3 linked regions of the Cricetulus griseus genome follow. The protein of the gene in region 2 binds, or shares a complex with, the protein of the main gene of each other region. Links are inferred from orthologs where the notes say so. Each region holds a gene or a part of one and is shown on either strand. Other genes may lie near its edges. The genes, in order: Polr2k, Gtf2e2 and Ercc3.

Evidence for each region.
Region 1: Gtf2e2 (region 2) and Polr2k share a complex: the UniProt entries of both Homo sapiens proteins name them as parts of the TBP-based Pol II pre-initiation complex. The link is inferred for Cricetulus griseus from reciprocal best matches to the Homo sapiens genes GTF2E2 and POLR2K.
Region 3: Gtf2e2 (region 2) and Ercc3 share a complex: the UniProt entries of both Homo sapiens proteins name them as parts of the TBP-based Pol II pre-initiation complex. The link is inferred for Cricetulus griseus from reciprocal best matches to the Homo sapiens genes GTF2E2 and ERCC3.

Annotation. Positions count from the first base shown.
Region 1 is NC_048603.1:15,287,974-15,292,539, forward strand, and holds the start of Polr2k (DNA-directed RNA polymerases I, II, and III subunit RPABC4), read right to left. Parts: upstream 3,183-4,566; 5' UTR 3,086-3,182; intron 2,011-3,085; 5' UTR 2,002-2,010; coding exon 1,941-2,001; intron 1,391-1,940; coding exon 1,298-1,390; intron 1-1,297. UniProt on the Homo sapiens protein: DNA-dependent RNA polymerase catalyzes the transcription of DNA into RNA using the four ribonucleoside triphosphates as substrates.
Region 2 is NW_023276807.1:51,053,082-51,057,124, reverse strand, and holds part of Gtf2e2 (transcription initiation factor IIE subunit beta), read left to right. Parts: intron 1-1,407; coding exon 1,408-1,515; intron 1,516-4,043. UniProt on the Homo sapiens protein: Recruits TFIIH to the initiation complex and stimulates the RNA polymerase II C-terminal domain kinase and DNA-dependent ATPase activities of TFIIH. Both TFIIH and TFIIE are required for promoter clearance by RNA polymerase.
Region 3 is NC_048595.1:205,088,128-205,092,170, forward strand, and holds part of Ercc3 (general transcription and DNA repair factor IIH helicase subunit XPB), read right to left. Parts: coding exon 4,035-4,043; intron 1,638-4,034; coding exon 1,520-1,637; intron 1-1,519. UniProt on the Homo sapiens protein: ATP-dependent 3'-5' DNA helicase/translocase. Binds dsDNA rather than ssDNA, unzipping it in a translocase rather than classical helicase activity. Component of the general transcription and DNA repair factor IIH (TFIIH) core complex.

The sequences.
Region 1 (4,566 bases), on a different chromosome or scaffold from region 2:
ATTTTAAACAGTACATAAAAACTATGTAAAACTGAGGCTTCCAAGTCACCACCTCTGCACCAAGCTTGCTGTTTCATATAAAACGAACAAAAGACTGAACTTCATTATGGCCACTGGAGATAATCTAAAAAAATAAAATACTCAGCTTCCATTTTCATTAGTTCACTCTCTATTACACAGAAGATAACAATATAGGTAAATTTTAAAAGATAATACGAAAAAGATATTTTAAAACACTGAAACACTGATGATTTTGAGAGTCTGTGTCAGTTACACTGAAACAATTTCAGTATTTGGACTAATTTGTAGGCCTATTTTCCACTAGGTTATTAATTTCTCCTCCCATACTTTAGATTACCCATAAGCTAACAATCAAGAGTGACTACTTCTAACAAAGAATTCCTGAAAAAACTAAAAACATTTACATAAACCCAAATTGATTAATTTTTTAATTACTTAGAGCCCATAATGAATGGCACGAAAACACTAATCATGTTTACTTAAAAAAAAAAGAGCTGGTGTACAAAAGGACTTTGGGAGCCCATCCCACGTGGAGGGATGCTCTCTCAGCCTGGACACATGGGGGAGGGTCTAGGCCCTATCCCAAACGATATGACAGACTTTGGGGATACCTCATGGAGGGCCTTACCCTCCCTGGGGAGCAGAGGGGGGGATGATGTGGTGAGTTGGTGAAGGGCTAGAGAGAGGAGGGAGCAGGGATTGACAATCGAAGTAGGCTTGTTTCTAATTTGAACTAAAAAAAAAAAAGTAAAATAAAAGCTAAAATCACTTACAGGGTTTTTTAAACACACACACACACACACACACACACTTGGGTCCTTTGTACAGGTGGAGGTCGGAAAAAGGGATCAGACCCCCGAAACTGGAGTTACAGAGGATCATGAGTAATTATGTTGGTGCTAGAAACAGAACACAGGTCCTCTGGAAGAACAGCCGATGCCCTTACCTGCCTGCTGACGAGTCTCTCTAGCCCCTATTTGTTTTTTTTGACACTGAGTCTCACTTAGTAGTTCTAGCTGGCCTTGAACTCACAAAGCTCTGCCTGCCTCTTTTCTCCAAGTTTGGTGAAAAATAATTCATATTAAAATAATATACATTTACGTCCTTCAGAGCCCCCCACATTCTCAGTTAATAAACTCTTCATTAATAAAGTCACATTCAATCTGCTTAGAAAAATAAACAACCCAAAAGTTGCTACTTTTGTCAGAACTTGGTCTTTATCAACCGAGTATTAGTTATTCCTCTTTACGTTTAGAAAGCCCAGTCAGAAGGATACATCTTTTTGTCCTTTTCTTGTACATTATTCTGTATCCACATTCTCTGCATCTGATTGGATCCCTGGACTTTATTTCATTTTCCGTGTGACACTCTAGGGAATAAAACACGTTCAGTCAATGCCTGAAAGAGAAACACTACAGGGAACCAAATATAACCACAGACTTCGCCAGAGCAAGTCAAAGCCCCGAAACTAAATACACCAAGGAGGAAAGAAAAGAGCTGTCGGCAGCGTACCTTTTCCTGATGAAAAGACAAATCTTAACGAGGGACTTTTACATTAATGATGCTAAAGTGTTTCACTTGAACTCGCAGAGATCCCCCTGCCTCTGCCTCCTGAGTGCTCCGCTTTATAACTTTGAAGATCAGTACTCATATATGGAAAGTTGAGGTAAAATGTTCCTACTTAAGCAGGGCATTGGTGGCACATACCTTTAATCCCAGCACTAGGGAGGCAGAGGCAGGGGGATCTCTGTGAGTTGGAGACCAGCCTGGTGTACAGAGTGAGTTCCAGGATAGGCTCCAAAGCCACAGAAAAACCCTGTTTCAAAAAAACAAAACAAAAGCAAAAAAAAAAAAAAGCCAAACAAACCAAAAAACCAAAACAACAACAAAAAACGTTCCTACTTAAATGTTAATCTTACCTCCGCAAATATATATCATCGGCTGCTGCTTTGGGGGTTGGACGTCTTTCTGCGCGTCCATTGCTAGTGCCTGAAATCAGAGCCAAAGCTTGAATAACAAGATCATCACACAAAACCAACCAGGCTCCCTTTTCCCCAGCAGCTACGCAAGGTCCTGATTCCGGGGTGAAGAGAAAATCTCAGGTGTAGAATGTTTGCCCAGAACACAGCGGCTCGAGGATCAAACCCCAGTATTACAGAATGAGGGGGAAAAAAATCATAATTCCTTATTTGAAACCCCCCCTTCCCCACCAACTGTGGGCTGGGTCTGAAGGAGGAAACACATTCTCAACAACACAGAATCCATCTCGAAGGTCTACGACACTCTTGAAGGTGCCAGAGGGCATCACTCTTTACACTCGGGGAAACCGAGGCTAAGCACAGCTCTCTGTGTGCCCAGCGTCTCCCGACACTAAGAAGCAAAGGGGGGGGGGGCTGGAGAGATGGCTCAGAGGTTAAGAGCACCGGTTGCTCCTCCTGAGTTCAATTCCCAGCACACACATAGCAGCTCACAACTGTGTGCAACCCCAGTTCCAGGGCACCCAGCTGACATCCATGCAAAATACCCAATGCACAAAAAATAAAAATAAACTTAGAAACCCTGTCTCGAAAAACCAAACAACAAATAAACTAAAAAAAAAAAAAACCCACAAAAATCCGCTAACTCCGCCGGGGATCTTGTCATAAATCATTTTTTAAATTTATTTTATTTTATGTGCGTTGGTGTGAGGGTGTCAGGTCCCCTGGAACTGGAGTTGCAGACAGCTGTGAGCTGCCATGTGGGTGCTGGGAATTGAACCCGGGACCTCTGGAGGAGCAATCGGCGCTCTTAACCTCTGAGCCGCCCCTCCAGCCCAGTCACCGACCATTTATTTACGTTTATTTGGCTCTTTGAGAGGCTCCCCACTTGGTAGCCCAGGCTGGCCCGGAACTCACTTCATCGCCCAAGCCAACCCCAAAGCCCGGGCGTCCGTCTGCTGAAGGCGGCAGTCCCCTGCCTCCGTTTCCCGAGCGCCCAGGCGGCGTGGAGCCAGCTCTCCCGGGCACCCGGGAACTTTCTAAAACCTTCTAAAGCCAGTTTTTTTGCCCTCAGACCGATCTCTCACCTCCGCGGCTCCAAGCAGAGTCTCGGTACGCACACAAACGTTCCCCCGCGTCCTCAGTGACGGACTCACTACCGGCGCGGACCGCGCGCTTCCGGCGCTGCCTAATGACGCGCAGGAGCCCCGCCCCCGCCCCGTCCCCTCCGCCGCCGAGAGCCCGGGCTGGGCACAGGCGACGGCGGAAGCCGAAAGCAGCTCTCGCTCCGGCGGCGGTCGCGGGTTCGAGACTCGGGCTCGTCGCCATTTGCTCGTCGCCATTTGCTCGTCGCCGTTTGCACAGGGTTCTCTTTTGTTTGGCTGCCCTTCAGCGCGCGGCTCTCCCCCAGGCCCCGGAGATGTCAATTAAAAATACTTTTTTTCAGGACCGTTGGCTTAGCTCGGTGGCTCGCAGGGGTGAATCTTCAGGAAAACGGTCGCTTGAGCTGCTTCCTCCGCACACAGCCCAGCAGCCTGTTAAACGCTCGCCCTCAGCCACGCTACAAAGTCTCCCCAATCCTAGGGCGGTCAGGTGTGTCTGCCGGGCTAAGCCCCGGCTGTAGAGAAAGGGTGGTGTGGCTTCTCACTTGCTAGTGAAAGACTTAAAAATTAGCAAAGAAATATAGCCCAGATAAGGAAACTCTCCAAACTGAATGTAGGGCGGCCTAACTCGGAAACTAAGGCCACTATTAGGACTTAGGGCCTGGAATTTACCAGCCGCAAGCAATTACTCCCTTACAAGGCCATAATATAACTGGGTACCAAGAATTCCCAGATGGCCACCCTCCCCGAGGGGCTCATGAAAAAAACAGATTGCCCCACCGGCCAATGTGTCAATCATTAACAATTAAGTGTCCCTGTGAAACAAAGAGATAGGTACCATTTGCTCAAGCAAGCTAAGCATATCCTGAGGTCTGCAGGTTTTACAGCTGGTGGGTCAGGAGGCCATCTGATTCCCAGCCCTCTCCTCAAGACAAAGGGTCTCTTAGGCACCTGTGACTCTGGTCACACCCCTCCCTAAGCTTGTGGTTTTTGCCTTTAAAAAGGCCTGTGCCTGGGGGACGGGGCTGCTCTCTAGCCTGCATGCTGAGAGAGCCCCTTCGTACAAACGTCTACCTTTCATTAAAGCCTCTTGCTGTTTGCATCAAGTTTCCGACTCCTCATGATGATTGGGATGGCCGCAGTCCTGGGAAAGGATTCTGGAGGCCTGAGCTTCCAGGGGGCTTACATTAGACGTCTGAGATTTTAAGATTTCGTTGTTTCTTTGTTTTGTGTTTTTGGTTTTTTCGAGACAGGATTTCTCTGTAGCTTTGGAGTCTGTCCTGGCACTCACTCTGGAGACCAGGCTGGCCTCGAACTCACAGAGATCCGCCTGCCTCTGCCTCCTGAGTGCTGGGATTAAAGGTGTGCGCCACCACCACCCGGCTAAGATTTCGTTGTTACTTTGAGTTGTCTGTGTTAGTGCCAGCAGAGACCTGAAAAGGTCCTCGGAGCCCCTGGACTGGAGC
Region 2 (4,043 bases):
TCCCCTCCATTTTTCAAGACAGGGCTTTTCTGTGGTTTTGGAGCCTGTCCTGGAACTAGCTCTGTAGAGCAGGCTGGTCTCAAACTCACAGAGATCTGCCTGTTTCTGCCTCCCAAGTGCTGAGACTAAAAGTATGCACCACCACCGGCAGGCTCATTCACACTCTTAATCCTACTGTCTTATCCTGATGAATGTGGTGGCTAATCTTAGAATCACAGTATCTTCTGAGAAGCCCGTTCAGGAGCCACATCCTCCCCGGGTCAGGTCATCTCACCTTTGGCATTCATGAATTTACAGTACCCTTCTGCTTACCTATGTCCTGCTCTTTAATAAGCTTAAGTGGGTTTTGTTTTTGTTTTTTTACATCAAACCCCAGAATAGACAAGTTTTCAGGTATCAGCCTGTCTCTGATTAGCTTTGGTGATTTCATTGTGTTCACCTGATCTTTTGGTCAGTGGAGGACTCTGGAGGCAATCTTTTTTGAAGCATGACCATGTATTTGTATGACTGTGGTTCAGCAGTGAAAGGGCCACATAGAGAACTTCCTTGCTGTGTGTAGCTTGTATTGTGCTGCAGTTTAATTAGTCCTTATTGGTGGTCAGGCCTTAGAATGTATTTTGTCTTTCTTAAGGGTTTGCAGCACCCTATATTCTGGCAATAAGAAGGCCTGTTTTCTTGTATCTTAGCTAATAGATGCATCAGACATTTTTACACTCTCCTGATCTGATAGGGGAGGAACATCGTGGTAGAAGTTGAGTGTCTTTTCCTGTTTAAGGGCACTTGAATTTTCTTTTTCTTCTGTTAATCTGTGTTTCCCTACAAGTTTTGTTTTTTTCTTTTTAATTGACTCTTGCAACGACTAGAAAAATTTGTTGTTGCTGTTGTCCTCATCAATCTCAACACATCTTCATCTTGTTATGTAGCCTTTATTAGTTTTGAACTCATCATGTAGCTGGTCTTCAACCTGTGATTCTCCTGCCTCTCAGCCTCCCACATGCTGTGTATCCCCACTCCTGGTTTAAGGTTAGTTTGTGATTTTTTTTTTCTTTCTCAGTTTATCATTTGATTTTTATCAGTCTGATTTTGTATGATTTCATGTTCAAGATTCATTTATTATGAATACAGTGTTCTGCCTGCATGTATCCCTGCAGGCCAGAAGAGGGCACCAAATCTCATTACAGATGGTTGTGAGCCACCATGTAGTTGCTGGGAACTGAACTCAGGACCTCTGGAAGAGCAGCCAGTGCTCTTAACCACTGAGCCATCTCTCCAGCCCTGATTTCATATTCTTGATCCTGGTATTCATGCTTACTACTTCAGATAATACATGGTGTACATTCCTGAAAAGATTAGTTTATGTCTGACTTTGACTTAATGCACTTAACATTTGAAATCTTCCCTCAACAGACACGGCATCAACGAGGAGATACACATCCTTTAACTTTGGAGGAGATTTTGGATGAGACACAGCACTTAGATATTGGACTCAAGCAGAAACAATGGCTAATGACTGAGGTGAGAATAGTTTTTTTAAAACTGTTGTAAAAAAAAAAAAAGCTAATTACAAAAAAGGGGTGTTTGCTACAGCTATCTAGAGTTGGTTCTTTTTTTCAGGGGCAGGGGAACGGTGGCTGGAGATGAAACCCAGGGCCCAGCATGTGCTAGGACAGCCCACTACTGATAGAACACTCCAGCTTGTAGACATGTTTTATCAAATTTTTAAGTCATCTCCAGCTTGTAGACATGTTTTATCGAATTTTTTTTGGGGGGGGAGGTGGAGCTGGGGGATGTGTGTGCCTGTGTGTGTGTGTGTGTGTGTGTGTGTGTGTGTGTGTGTGTGTGTGTGTGTGTGTAGGGGATGGGAGGGAGGAGGGAGGCAGGGAGAAAGGGGCAGGAGATAGGGTCTCATTTTGTAATCCAAACTGACTTCAGACTCAGGGCAGCCTTCCTGCTTTACCTGCTTTAACTTCATGAAACATGCCTGGCTCAGAGTGTTTTTTTTTTTTAATAAATACTATAATCTGATAATGTTTTTTACTTTTTCTTAAAAGACTTGATGTGTAGAGCCTTTGTTTAATTTAAACATACACATCCCTGTAATTTTTTAGCTGTTTTCATATAAATTTGTTTTAAAAATTTTAAGGCTACTTTAAAATGTGAAGCCAGTGTACCAATTTTGTTTTTATAAATAGTAGTTTGAATTATTAAACTCCTAACTTTATATGCCTATAAATTGTATATTGTATATATGCTTTATTTATTTTGCTTTGTTTTTCAAGACAGGGTTTTTCTGTGTAGCTTTGGAACCTGTCCAGGCTGGCTTGGAGCTCACAGAGCCTGCCTCAGCCTCCTGAGTGCTGAGATTAAAGGGGTGCACCACCACTGCTTGGCTCTATATGTGGTTTAGAAAATTTAATTGTGATGTTAGGGACAATAAAACATTTTATTGTGTTATTACCACTGTATAGTCTGATAAGTGAATTGTCTTTAGTTTCTTAGGCAAATGATCACATATGCTATGTTTAAATATATGTACCATTTGAAGAAAGCCTGAAACAATTGCCGACCATGCCAGTTTGCCATCGAATGACATATCATCTGTTTGGGTGTTTGTTTCTTTAAATTGCCTACTTTTCAGGACCAGTCTGAGGATCAGATATTAGCTGGGATGTAGTGGTGCACGCCTGTAATCCCAGCTCTTGAAAGGGTAAGGCAGGAGGATGGAAAGTTCAAGGACATCATTAGTTCCAGAGTGAGTTCAAAGCTGCTCTGCGCTACAGTTAAAATTAAAAACAAACAAACAAACAAAAACCCAAACAAACAAACAGTACAGAATACCCACAAAATTACCAGATGTAATAATTTCATTGATTTATTTGAGGCAGGGTCTCACTCACTAGATCCTCCTGCCTTTGCCTCCCAAATGCTGGGATTAAAGACATGTGGCACCATGAGTGGCCTAATTCACTTAATTAATTTCACCAAGCAAGGTGTGATTCTCTGTTTTTGTAATATAAAATGATTTGAGCAAACCCAAATCATTGGAGGTCATAGTCTTCTATCAGTTATTTGGCCATTGCTCGAAGCAGAACCTGCCTGAGATCATTGGTTTTTATTCTTTAAGCTTTTTTTTTTTGAGACAGGGTATCACTGTGTAGCCCTGGCTGTCCTGGAACTCAACTGTGTAGATCAGGCTGGCCTCAAACTCACAGAGATCCACTTGTCTCTGTCTCCAGAGTGTTGGTGATAAAGATGTGTGTAACCACTCCTGGCTTAAATGTTACTCTGTTGTATAGGCTGACCTCACACTTGGCAGCAGTCTCTTGCCTCAGACTCCTAAATGCTGAGATTATAGTAGGTATGAGTCACCACAATCAGCTTATACCTATGATTTTTTAACTTAAAAATGTTTAGACACTGCTGTGATGTTCTCCCATTATAATGCCAATATATGATAGAGGAGGCATGGGCATACCATGTTCACTGTGTCATTAATAGGTTATTTTTTGATTCCTACTCAGTTTGTCTTCTAAAAGAATAAGGGTTCTTCAAAGAAATTGTAATACAATGAGTTTTCTCTCTAAAGAATGTATGCAAATAGTGTACAGTGTAGTTGGAGTTTTCTTTGGACTGCCAGCTTATGAAAGCACATGAAAGCTTGGCCTTAGTTTAGGCTTGTCCCACTAGCTCTTATAACTTAAATTGACCTGCTTCTGTTAATCTTTGGTTTACCATGTGGCTTTTACCTTTGTTTAATTCTGTATATCCATTCCCTCTGCGTCCCTCATTGACATAATTTGCACATCTAGATTCCCCCTCCTCTTCCTCTCTCTCCCTGGAAATCCCACCTATCTTCCCTGCCTAGCTGTTGGCTGTCCAGCTTTTAATTTACACCAATCACAGCATTACATCTTTTCACAGTGTTCACATATCCCACAAACATACATTTTTTTCTTTTCATCTTAAATAAGAAGCAAGCACTATGCTGATCACCTGTTCTGGGATCCTGGATGTCTAATAGTCTAATATTTTAGCTCTGCAAG
Region 3 (4,043 bases), on a different chromosome or scaffold from region 2:
GGTGATCCGAGTTTGATCCGGGGAACCTGTTAAAAAAAACCATCAAAACGTGCAGCAATTGGTCTGCAAAGGAAAGCAAACACCTAAGTTCCTTTTAGGAATGAGGTTTAGTATAGCGAGAGAGCCTCAAGGCAATGGCTGAGTCTCAAGGTCTGCAGGGAACCATGGAGTTGGCCTGGCCTGGCCTAGAGACAGGCATCATGGGTTTTTCAGGTTAGAGTTCATGGATCCTTGGACACAGTGTGCCTTCCAGTTCCTGAGAGACTGATGGACTCCCTCAGGTAGTGAACTTGCAGGCCGCCTTGTGTTTCTCTGTATGTTCCCTCAGAAGTCAACAAAGCGTGGAAACCCGACAGGACAATTGGTCTTAGACATTAATCTTATGTACCATGTAGAGCTTACAAACATCATTGTATCCTGGCAACTACAACTTTATTGATCTTGACAATTGACAATTATATTCTGTTTCTGGTAAACGTATAAAGTCTAATTGCCCTTCTTTTGAAGAAATGTCACAGCCTTACAGGTGCTGTGGCCCCTCTAACCTGCCCTGATTTCCTTCCTCAGGTCCTATCAGGTGACCCTGGTATGGTAAGTAAATGCAGGCACTTTCAAAGGTGGAAGGGAAAGCTTTCACACAGAAATGCTACAATATACGGTGATAGAATATGAGGCCTTAAAGGGAAGAAGTGGCTTCCCTTAAAGCCTGGAGAAAAACTTCAGTGAGAGTGGGAATCAGAGAGCCATCTCTCAAGGAGAAGAACAGCAGTGTGGAGGCTAGAGGAGCCTTTTCAGACAGTAGTGTTCATCTGCACATTTTCTTTCTTTCTTTTTTTGGTTTTTTGAAACAGAGTTTCTCTGTGTAGCCCTGGCTGTCCTGGAATTAGCTCTGTAGACCAGGCTGGCCTCAACCTCAGAGATCTGCCTCCCAAGTGCTGGGATTAAAAGCGTGTACCACCACCGAATGGCCCAGATTTTATTTCCGATTTGATGTGTATGTTTGTGGGTATGTGTGAGTATATGCCATGTGTGTGCACTTAAAGAGACCAGAAGAAGGTGTTAAGATCTAGTGGAGCTGAAGTTACTGCAAGGCATGGTGGTGCATGCCTTTAATCCCAGCACTCGGGAGACAGAGGGGGATCTCTGTGAGTTCAAGGCCAGCTGGTCTAAAGAGTGAGTTCCAGGACAGCAAGGGCTACATGGAGAAACCCTGTCTTGATAAGCCACCAAAATAATAAAATAATAATATTACTACTAATAATAATAACAACAACAACAAAACCCAAAAATAAAATACCAACCAAAAAAAAAAAAAAAAAAAGGGAGCCATTTAAAGATTCTGTGGAGAGCATGGATCCCTTGTGCCATGAGAAATAATGAAGACTTTGACTTTGGGCTCTGAGCTCTGCTTGGGGACCTTCCCATCAAGGTCTCACCAGCAGGTCACCTCCACTCTTCCTAACCTGTGTGGTGAGAGGCCATCCACCAGCCTGTGGCAGCAGATGCAAGGCAGCCTTACCTTTTTTGGCTCGGAGTACCCGCCCCAGTCTCTGGGCTTCCTGCCGTCTGGAACCACCATGGGAGGAGATCTGAATGAGGACATTTGCTTCTGGCAGATCAAAGGATGTGTCACCGACCTACAGAAATAAAGGAGCTATGGTCTGGGAGTTTTTATATAGGGAATAGTAAGAACAAAAAGAATATCAACTAGTCCAGAATTTCAATCTTAAATTCCTGCAGTTCTAGGAATGGAGTTAGGGCTTCAGGCATGCTAAGCATGTGCTCTCCCACCAAGCTAACTCCCCATACATCTCTGGTTAAGACTAAGTCAGAGTTGGAGATAATTTATAGAAACATCCTCTCTTCCTCTTGTCAAGGACACAATGAACTTCAGAATGACCTCCCCAGAACCTGGCCACTACTTTTATCTTTGTGCTACAGAAATGGGTCTGTACAAAAACCTGTCTTACTTGATGAACACTGACAACTGCAGCAGCCCAAGTAGAACAATGCACTTTTACTACTCACACAGACCCTCACTGAGAGCTGGCTCCTTCACTGGGGTCTCAGCTCACACCACAGAGGTACCCAGCCATGGCCACCAGACTGGAAACACTCCTGTCTTCTAGACTTTAGTTCTATCTTCACCTGACTAAATGCTATCCAGCTCCTTACACTATGGGTTATCGTGTCCAAGGTGACTCAGCAGGTGTAGTAGAAGGACAAGCTGTCCTCTGACCTCCACACATACAACACAGCACCCTCTCCCAACCTACCAACCAAACAAATAAATGTAATTAAACTATTTTAAAGGTTTCTGCATGTTTAGTTAAATGCATAATCTCGCTATAGCCTTGGTTCCAAACACACAACACATACACCTCACACTGTGCTTGCCATCATCTTTGCAACACAAATAAATGCTGCTTAAAATACCTCAATTGCACAAACTTTTCTGCGTTTACATAATGGTTTATTTATGGAAAACAAATTAATATTTTCTTACAATCATTCCTAAGCATGTGAGTAATAAATTTGTATATCTTTGTATTATACTGTGATAGAATGTTTAATTTTAATAACCCTATTTTAATGGATAACTTTTGAAATTCATTTTTAAAAAAAAATCATTCAACAAATTTGGGCTTGGGATTAGGACAGAATTTCTAACAATTTCTGGAGTGGCCCCAAGCATACTTCTGTTGTTCTGAAGTATGTATTTATGTGAAACTGCATTCTCAGCATTGGCAATTACAAAAAATATCCACCAACTCTGGAAAGCACTGACAGTGTTCTACATCCTACAACAGGATCCTGTACATCCTGTGGTATCAGCTGAGATGTTAATTCTTTAGTAAAAGCAGCAAGCAAGTCCATCACATCAATGGGAGAATTCACTTTCATCTTTAACAAATGTCTCCACCCTCGTAGTTCACTCTTGCACCCTTGCTGCACCAGAGACAGATCCCTGTGTGGCTATGAGTTTGTCAACAGACTCACCAGGTGAGTGATTCCAGGAGAGTGACAGGTGCCATTCTCACTTCCCAAAAAAGTTCACAGGTTGTCAGACTCTAAAAACATGAGCCAGCTAACTGGTATAATGGATACACCTCAACAACACACCCCTAGAGCTACACCTCCCTGGGATCAGGGACAGCCTGGCTGTAGGCTTGTGCTGTGAAACCTTCTTCCAGACTCCCACTCTGCCTTTCGGGCCTGAACTATTCTCAGAGCTCCTGCTGTGCTGCTGCCATCTATCTGTGTGGCCATGATGTAGGGAACTCTCCTAACAAACATCTAACCCAAAAGAGCATCCACTTCAGTGCCCTGCTGAACCCCAAGCCCAGACAGTTCACATATATCAAAAGTTTTTAGGTGAAAAGAGATCATTAGTGAAAAAAAATAAAAAGACCTCATTTAAACCACGGGTCAGGCAGTGGTGGCACACTCCTTTAGTCTTATCACTCCAGAGCAGGTAGATCCTTGTGAGTTCAAGGCCAGCCTGGTATACAGAGTAAGTTCCAAGACAGCCAGGGATACACACAGAAAAATTCTGTCATGGGGAATGGGGTGGGGGGCAAACCAGAATAGAATAAAATAAACAAAAAACAAAGGGTCATATGGTAACAGTGATGCCATGATGAAGCTCAGCCTACCAAGTCCATTGTGGCACTGGCCACCCACCATCAAGGCACATCAGACACCAGGACAGAAGCTTCCCAAACACACAGCATCTCCAGTTCCAAAAAGGAAGCTTCATTCTAATACCTGCTTTTGCCAGAGCCAGAAAGACAAAGGAAATAAAATTTAAATCTCTACTTCCCAGGGAGAGGTACAACACACCTGAGAAGTGAAAAGCCCTTACAGATAACCTCAAGACATAAGAACCCTAAGTTACTTTTCACACTAGCCAGAGCTGCCCCTCCCTAACCCCATCGCTGGGCCAGGAAAGTAAGCACACACAGGAGGCCTTCAGCATGTATGAACCATGTCCAGAAGAGTGAGGCACTGCCCCGCCAGCCTGCACCACACACCTTGGAGAT